2 linked regions of the Arabidopsis thaliana genome follow. The protein of the gene in region 1 purifies or fractionates together with the protein of each later gene. This does not show direct contact. Each region holds a gene or a part of one and is shown on either strand. Other genes may lie near its edges.

Region 1 (3,050 bases):
AAGTTGGAAGCTTCGAGAGCGACGAGAGAGACGAGAGAGGAACGTTGAAACCTTCGAGCATGGTTAAGTTCGAAGCTTGAGCTCCTCTCTTTAGTGCATCTCCTGAACGATTTAGAGCTGGTGTTCCCCAAAAATACGATAACGGAGATTTAACGGCAGCGAACAATTCCCGTTTTTTCTCAAACGGAAGACTCAGTAATGACTCCGAGATTTCTTGAAGCCGTGACGTTAACGCCAACGGTACTCCGTGATTCTCTAGACGGAATATTCCCCACTCCTTGCATGCCTCTCTCAGTATCTCCTTGTCCAAACGTTCCAAATCGATAACCGGGATATTGATATCCTTGCCCTGGACAATAACCGGTGTTGCTGGAGGATTTTCGTCGTTGGTTACACGCCGGAAAGCCGGTGGATATGACTCACTGATGCTCATCTCTCCCTATTTCTCTTGAGATCTCTTTCGATTTTATCCTTTAAAAAGTCTATTAAATTACTTAAAACAAATGAAGTGTTTGATGTGTATCTATAGGTGCATTTAGTTACAAAGGATTACGTTCCAAAAAATGATAAATTTTCCATAATATATATATCTATAGATCAACACCTCCTTATAATATAATATTCCCTAATGAATTGATGTCACTTGTCACGGATTTATGTCTGTAACACAAATAAGGCATAGATTCTGTATAAACGAAGAGACCAAGTTGCATGCGATGTGGGTACGTGTACCATTTAATCTTACTTGTCGGCCCATCTCTCGTAAAGTTTCAATATTTTTCTAAATTAATCAAAACATTTTTTGGTTTTTAAATGAAAATTAAAAGAACTTATTCGTAATTATACCGATACTGCTATACAACGAAATTATATAAGCAGATGTAGAGTAAATATGTACTGTATTATATTGTAAATAATCTTGTCTACTTCTTCTTATATATTTTGAATTCATCCAACAGAAACCAAAAATCTATCAATTTGACGAGAGCATGTTTGATGCGTATCACCAATCACCATTAGTCGGATCCAATATGAGGTTTTAAGGAGCCCAATAGAACCCACGGAAAATCTTTGTAGCAAATTATACAACTACATTAAAAATAAAAGATTTTTCTAAATACAATTACTGGAGGGCAGTACAATGCATGGTAAGGCATAATCGGTGAAGTACCAATCTCATTACGAATTTCACTTACTTTGGTTAAAACTGTCTCATGAACATATTTTGACTTTTGGAAATGTAGTAAACATGTTTTGTCCTCGTTTAGAAAGAACAGTGAGGAGAGTGAGCTATAAATTATTATTTTCTGGCGAGAAGTTCGAGGAAACCCCATAAAGAGAAAGAAAAAAGTCAACAAAAAAGTTTGGGAGTGGGAGAAATTGGTAAAATGATCTTAAAATTTGGTAATAAGCGTTGACGATTTGCACAAAATGACAATCACTGTCTTGTGTGCCTCCACACTTCCACTTGCTTGGCCTTGATGTGACATACGTGGCACCACGCGTTGCACACGTCACCTCCCACTCCCGCCTTCTTAGCTGACACGTGTCGTCATCTACATGGTCTTACTCTTCTGACCTGTTTTCATCATCTCCGCATTATAAGAAACGTATATATATTTGATTGAGATTTGAGACAAGTAAAATCAGTTTGGATAAACACACACTTGTTGTCGTTTCTTTATAAATAAGACGGACACGAATCTGTAACCGATGCATTTTTAAGATTCTTTTAATTATATCAGACAGAGAGATATGACTTTTGTAGTTCGTCTTCTTGTGTGTCTCTTATTGACGCTTACAATTACATCTTCTCTAGCCCGCAACCCTGTTTCCGTTTCAGGTTCGAATCTCATCTTCTTGTTTCCTTCCTTCGATTCGTTCATGTTTTTCTCTATGTCTGAATGATTTCGTTTGGATTAGGTGGGTTTGAGAATTCTGGATTCCAAAGGAGTTTGTTGATGGTGAACGTTGAGGACTACGGTGACCCATCTGCAAATCCTAAGCACGACCCCGGCGTTCCTCCGTCAGCAACCGGCCAACGTGTCGTCGGCAGAGGCTGACGTAATGTTTTAGTTAACGCAGAAGGAAAGAACTCTTCTTGTTTACATTTTCAGTTTGTCTGAGATTAAATCTCAGTTCATATAGCTTTCTCTAATCTGTCTATATAGATATTTTCTCGTAATCTCCATACAACTTCATTTATTTTTTTCTTATGGCAATGACTTTGTACCTTATTTTCCAATTTGTGTCTATGCAAAATGATTGAATCAAAAGAGTTCACTCTAGGTAAACCAAGGTATGCTACATCAACAGATTAACTGAAACATAGAAGACACTTTTGGCACATGAGATTGTACCACCATCTCGTATTAAAAATACTTGTGAGAACTTCACGGAAAGGTTCCAGCGTTTCTATCTTCTGATACTACTACTTCAGTAGCTGCTGCCTGTGAGTATGCTCGGTCGTGTTAGAGTTTTACTGATGAGATCTCTCAGCTCGATCTCTCCTGGGAATCTACCTTCTTTCAATTTAGAGAACACCTGAAATAGAAACACAGGATTTAGTACAAACTGATCTTACATATCTGGAAATAATCTTAAACCATTAATTACTAACCGGTTCGCCGTTGCAGTGAACTTCAAAGGCGCCTGAGCTTTGAAGGTAAGACTGCAGAAAGTTTCCGATAAGCCAAGTGGAAGCCATGGATCCAAATCTGTTGGCCCTCAAGGAGTGGAACCAAGCAGGTGGGTTCGTAATTCCAATCATGGGAAGGATACGATCACCTGCAACTATCATACCAATAACTCCCATCTGAACAACCGGCACAACCTTAGCTAGAAGGCGTTTTGGTGCTGGTGGTGGGTAATTTGCGAGAATCACATCTAAACCGGGAAAAGCCGTCTCTAACATCTTCTTCATGGTGACTGCAGTTCCCCTACAAATTAAAAAAATTGGGATGAACACCAGTCACACTGATAAAGAAAGCTAGAGTTACTTATGCCTTTTGCGGAGAAGTTCAAAACAGTATCCAAAGAAGTCATGTCAT
Region 2 (6,361 bases), on another chromosome or scaffold:
TTTCCCAACAGAGTACACAATTACCACAAAGTCTTGTGCAAGAAAGTTAAATCCAATGTTAGGAATTGAACAAAGAAGAAATGTCACGTCAGAAGAGTTTCCGTTGGAATCCTGGATCGATGTTTCTTGATAACTTGGTAAGCTTCATGGGAGCTCCAGGGCAAGCTGCAGAGACAGGTGTGTGAGAACCATAACCAGATTCCTCTGTTTGAAGGCAGAGAACAATACTAAAGATGTTTTGATACAAAGACTCAATGATTTCTTCATCGGAACAAGTAGTAAGAGAATCAATCCTCATGTGATTATTGTAGTGGTCACAGAGTGGAGAAATTGCAATGATTCCACTGTCTCCTTTAGAGATCATAGGAGTTATGGGTTCCACATAACCTGATGTTCCTTCAATGGAGTTTTCTTCATAGTCCATGGTGATGGTGTCACAATATCTGGAAAAAGACAGTAAAACCATACATTCAGACAAAGCCCTTGTAAACGAAACCAGAGGAAGCAACGAGTTTAAAATCCATGATTATTGAATAGTACCCCTAATAAGCTATTTCACAAATTGCGTTAAGTTCGAGAAGAAACATTTAGTCGCATATCGTGATGCCATTAATGAAAGAAAAAAAATCTAATCTAAAAGACAAAAAGATTGCACGACAAATTAGATGATACGAAATCATCGAATTTATTAGAGTTATGGCACTTTTTCAGAAACGATTCAAAAGAGTGAGAAAATCTCTATACCTTTGACTCATGAGGTCTGTAATTTTTTGTTTATCTTTTCTTTTTTTCTTTGACAGCAATTTTTTTTTTTTTTTTTTTTTTGCGATTTTAATATTTTTTATAAACTTAAGAAAATGATAAGCGGAGAAACAGAAGACACTAGGCCCATTTAATTATCAGGCCCAATTGTATTAATATCTTAAACCTTCTTTAAAACCATAAGATTAACACAAAGGTTTACGACTATCCTTCTAGATTTTATTTTCCAAGCATTTTTAATCCTACTGTATTTCTCAAATCTACAACCTTTGATGATTTTTTGTCATCACCAACTTTTTTAAAAAAATAATTCATTTTAGGACATTTCAATCCCAATGGCAATAATTACCCATTTATACGAATTCTAGCATACTAGTTAATGTATAATTACTTTGCTATTTATTGGAAACCTATGGAGGTAATATTTATCTCTAAAGGAATTTATATATATTTTTAGTTAAATACATATTTATTGATATTTTAGGATTACAATAAACATGGCAACAAATTATATTAAAAATTAAAAAACAGATATTTTTATTGTATAGATGAAAACAAACAAGTCATTGCAAAACGAATGGAACGATGACAAGATTGAAAGGAGACAGCATCCGCCATCAGCATGAGACATTTGAACCCACAACATTTTTTTGTAGACAAGTCTGGTCTTTTTACTTAAAGCAAATAAACTCTAGACTTTAGGCCTTATAACATTTAAGCATAAAGTATGGCCACTGTCAGGATTGAACTCTCAAATCTCAACGGAAAACTTTAATGCTCATAAAAATCTGTGAACGAATGATTGAACTGAAGCAATGACTAAGAACAAATGAGTCATAACTCATAACCATGATCCTGTAACTATAAGTTTCCTCCTTGAGGTCTTTCACACACAACGAGGGATGGATGTACATGTCACCAGAAGCAACAAGAAGATCAAGACGCAACTAAAAGGCCAAAAGAAGTGAAGAACAAAATATTACACAAAGAGGGGATGTATAGTTGTATACCCACGGTTTACCGATTTCGGTTTTCGTTCCGATAACCGGTTATGTATTTCATTTTGTATTATATAGAAGGCATTGGTCAAACCGCACTCGAACCAGAAAGGAAAGTGCATTCATACTATTACTGACTAGTGGAAAAAAAAAAAAAAAAAAAGCATTGGTCTCTCTCAAAAAAGATTAATTCGTTTGGCTAAATCAAATTTGACACTAGTGTCTTCCTCAGTGCGTGTTTATAATTTTTCTGGGTGGCGAGAAACCAAGAGAAAATCTCGTGACCCTGTTCTCTCGGGAGCGCACACAATCTCTCTTCTTCTTCGTCTTCCTCCTCCAATCGATGTAATCACACACACACACAAAAACACATCTTTTCCTTGTTTTCGTAGGACCTAGTAGATAGCGAGTTTTGCCCCCAAAACAGCGATCGAGGGAATTTATGAGCACGAGATCTCGATTCCCCATACACGTAGGCCTCTGCTTCTCTCTCTTGTTCCTTTGTTCCTTTCTTTATTCGATTTTCTGGGTCCCTTTTGCCCTGTTTTTCCTCTGTCTCCTTCCCCCAAAATCTTTCGGTTTTGTTTTTATACAACTTGCAACCGTTAATGTTCATCCTCACCGATTGATCACCTACTCTTTTCCCTTCCTGGGTTTTGTTTCTTTCGAATAAAGATTGATCCTTCTTTCACTTATAATCGTTTTGGTAATCAGTAGGGTTTGGAATCGAGGCACAATGCAAATGAACTCTGTTTGGAAGCTGTCTCTTGGGTTATTACTTCTTAGCTCAGGTATGTATGCAGAATGGTTTTACAAAATTGTTCATTTGATAAAAAAGCTGGACTTGTCTCTGATGTTCTTGGAATAATTGGCAAATTATATCTCAGTTATTGGCTCTTTTGCGGAACTTGATTTTGGCCATTGCGAAACTCTTGTGAAAAAATGGGCTGATTCTTCTTCATCTCGTGAAGAACATGTTAATAAAGACAAACGCTCGCTTAAGGATTTGCTCTTCTTTCTCCACGTTCCGCGAACTGGAGGCAGAACATATTTTCATTGGTGATTTGATTTCCTTTACCAAAAAGTTTTTGAGAGATTCTTTTATGATTGTTGTGTGGTTAAGGCTGTGTTTGTGCTCTTGTAGTTTTTTGAGGAAGTTGTATGATAGCTCTGAGGAATGTCCTCGATCTTACGACAAGCTCCACTTCAATCCAAGGTATCTTAATTTCATCAGTGCTCTCGCTAATTGTACGTCTTTATTTGATGCCAAAGACTCTTTCTTGTGGAAACAATAAGATGGCTTACAGAATGCTGTTTGTACATTCTATTGGTTGTTAAGTTGACTTTAGATAGCTTAGCTAGACATATATAAAGTTAAATATTGTTTCATATGAAAATCAATTTTCCCTAGCCTCCTTTACCTAAAGAAAAACAATGTGAAAAAAGTATTTTGCCTGTGGTGTTACTACCTTCGGACAGTTAAGATCGTGTTGACTCGTAAATTTATAGGAAGGAAAAGTGCAAGTTGTTAGCCACACATGATGATTATAGTTTGATGGCAAAGCTTCCGAGGGAGAGAACTTCGGTGATGACAATAGTTCGGGATCCTATTGCGCGTGTGTTAAGCACTTATGAATTTTCCGTAGAGGTAGCAGCTAGGTTTTTGGTGCATCCCAATTTAACTTCTGCGTCAAGGATGTCTAGCCGCATACGCAAGAGTAATGTAATAAGCACACTAGACATATGGCCATGGAAATACCTAGTTCCATGGATGAGAGAAGACTTGTTTGCTCGGGTATGTCGACCTATCCCATTCGTCTTTTTTGGCTTTTAAGCTAGAACATGATAAGAACACATAAAACTTGGGCTGAAGCTTTTTTTACTCATCCTTGGCTTTTCTTAGCGAGATGCACGAAAATTGAAGGAGGTAGTGATCATTGAGGACGATAACCCGTATGACATGGAGGAGATGCTTATGCCTTTGCACAAATATCTTGATGCGCCTACTGCTCATGACATCATCCACAATGGAGCGACTTTTCAGGTACTTTTTCATGCTATTTGTTTAAGTTTTCAAAGTTATTGATTAGAGATCTCCAGAGCATTTTCATTTCACTTCACAGATTGCAGGATTGACAAATAACTCCCATTTATCAGAAGCACACGAGGTTCGGCATTGTGTGCAGAAATTCAAAAGCCTTGGTGAGTCTGTTCTCCAAGTTGCCAAGGTAGTAACACTTCTTCTTCATCATAGTTCACTGCGTCTTGGTATTGTGCTTTTAAAAGCAGCAGATTCTGTAAGCTTTTTTAAATTTTGCAGAGGAGGCTAGACAGCATGTTGTATGTTGGACTGACAGAGGAGCACAGGGAATCTGCATCACTTTTTGCCAATGTAGTGGGTTCTCAAGTGCTGTCTCAAGTGGTTCCGTCCAATGCAACTGCGAAAATCAAAGCTCTTAAATCAGGTTGGTGTAAGTTTCTTAATACCATCGCTGGGCTATCTAAGGAGAATCTAGCAACTTAGTTGAAGGACATGGTGATCATTTTTTTAGTCACAGTGTACAGTTTTTTCAGAGTACCGCTTTGGAGATGGTATTTACTTTAGTTTTTGGCTTTTGAAAGTCAAAACCCGTCATATTATTCATTAAAATGTTTGACTGATATTTTTCATTCACTTTTTAGGAGTTTGATTTTTAATTACCTAGGGAAGCTACTTATTGTTCTCTGTTATTTGGGGATTATCGTATAAGGTTTGATTGTCTTTCATCATGAAGATTTTTCTGATCTATGTTTCTTGTTGTCACATCATCTTTAAAGGTTCTCTTGCCCTCTTTTGTTTTAGACTTGTGTCTTGTTACTCTGGGTCCCTGGGTTTATTAAAGTTTCTTTGTTGGTTAATCATAGTCTCTTAGAGTAAGTAGAATGATGATATGACAGTTCATGTGCATACAGCCTAGGCTTTCTATTGCTTTTGTTGTATTTAAAGTCAGGATAACAAATGGTTGTACTTGCACTCACCAAATTGTCAACTTTATTTCCTTGATGCTTCAGAAGCAAGTGTCACAATTTCAGAAACCGGGTCAGATAAGAGTAATATTCAGGTAAAGTCCTGCTGCAGAAGGTAATAATTTGTTTGTTCAACTGTCATTTTTGTAATTGTCTTGCTGAAAATGGCTGTGACATTACAGAATGGTACATCTGAAGTTACATTGAATAAGGCAGAAGCTAAGAGTGGGAATGTAAGTAGAATCCCTTTTCCAATTTATTATCAACGCTTGAGACCTTGTGTGACTTTTATATATACACTTCAGATGACGGTAAAAACCCTTATGGAAGTCTATGAAGGCTGCATCACTCATTTACGAAAGTCCCAAGGAACCAGACGGGTCAACTCTCTGAAGAGAATAACTCCAGCAAATTTTACAAGAGGGGTAAAGTGTTTTCGTACATGATCTAAACTTAGTAAAGTTAATGAGAGAAGGCTGGAATAATGAAATCTTTTGACAATGCATCTAACAGACGCGTACAAGAGTTCCTAAAGAGGTCATTCAGCAGATCAAATCGCTTAACAACCTCGATGTGGAGCTCTACAAATATGCAAAAGTAATCTTTGCCAAAGAACATGAATTAGTGTCGAATAAGTTGATCTCAAGTGTAAGAAACTTCTTGTCTTCACATTTCGCCTTTTAGTTTCTGTCTGATATAAGACTAAACTCCATGATTCGTGTGCAGTCTAAGAGAAGCATTGTTGATCTGCCGAGTGAGTTAAAGAGCGTATTGGGAGAAATGGGTGAAGAGAAGCTATGGAAGTTCGTACCAGTGGCATTGATGCTTTTATTGATCGTCCTCTTCTTTCTATTTGTAAACGCTAAAAGGAGAAGAACCTCCAAAGTTAAGATTTGATCATTGTCACTATATTTTGGACCAAATCAGCAATTTGAAGAAGCTTTTGGGGTCCAATTTGTAATATTATTCTCTTTCTTTTTCTACTTTTCGTGGAAAAAGAAAAAGTTTTGGGTGTTGCCTTACCTTACAGGTGAAAAAGGGAAAATCACAAGTAAAAAAAAACTCTCTATCTACTTTATTTTAAAAGGCTAAACAAAACAGGTAAAGTCACAAAATTAGTGCTTCTTTTTTTTTTTTTGTTTAAGTGAGCTTAATCAATAAAGATAAAAGTAATAAGATTTCACAATTTTTTTTTTTTTTTTTTTTTGAGAAAGTACACTACTAACTGGTTTGAATTTGACTGTACCATTTTTCACGCAACAGACTGTGTGCAATTTAAAGTACAGTTCATACAAATCTCTATAAAACAAATTGTACAAAAGCAGTAAATATACCCCCACGTGATATTTGTTTTCTTATCAACGACGCAGTGTAAACAATAATATGTCAAAAATTTTGAAGAAAAAATCATATAAACTATATAAGAAGAAAAAATGAAAAGAAATATGAAGATCGTGTATATTAATTTTTTTTTATATAAAAAATACTAATAATAATAATTGATTGATGGGAGGAAGATAGTAAGTGAAAGGGATGAAACATATCATGTGGGAGATGGAAGCAAAGAGTTAGGCAAGGGACCCACTTTCCCATGA

Evidence for each region.
Region 2: the proteins of PSY1 (region 1) and TPST purify together in Arabidopsis thaliana (co-purification; one study listed by BioGRID). This does not show direct contact.

The regions. Positions count from the first base shown.
Region 1 is NC_003076.8:23,698,892-23,701,941, reverse strand, and holds PSY1 (plant peptide containing sulfated tyrosine 1), read left to right. Parts: upstream 1-1,715; 5' UTR 1,716-1,755; coding exon 1,756-1,843; intron 1,844-1,923; coding exon 1,924-2,063; 3' UTR 2,064-2,234; downstream 2,235-3,050. Other genes in the region: AT5G58660 (2-oxoglutarate (2OG) and Fe(II)-dependent oxygenase superfamily protein), read right to left, coding at 1-433; AT5G58640 (Selenoprotein, Rdx type), read right to left, coding at 2,437-2,544, 2,621-2,939.
Region 2 is NC_003070.9:2,488,877-2,495,237, reverse strand, and holds TPST (tyrosylprotein sulfotransferase), read left to right. Parts: upstream 1-1,910; 5' UTR 1,911-2,232; intron 2,233-2,269; exon of another isoform or gene 2,270-2,474; 5' UTR 2,475-2,496; coding exon 2,497-2,551; intron 2,552-2,647; coding exon 2,648-2,819; intron 2,820-2,904; coding exon 2,905-2,976; intron 2,977-3,269; coding exon 3,270-3,555; intron 3,556-3,663; coding exon 3,664-3,804; intron 3,805-3,883; coding exon 3,884-3,988; intron 3,989-4,080; coding exon 4,081-4,225; intron 4,226-4,811; coding exon 4,812-4,861; intron 4,862-4,948; coding exon 4,949-4,999; intron 5,000-5,071; coding exon 5,072-5,191; intron 5,192-5,279; coding exon 5,280-5,414; intron 5,415-5,492; coding exon 5,493-5,663; 3' UTR 5,664-5,829; downstream 5,830-6,361. Other genes in the region: AT1G08035 (uncharacterized protein), read right to left, coding at 89-466. UniProt on the Arabidopsis thaliana protein: Catalyzes the O-sulfation of tyrosine residues within acidic motifs of polypeptides.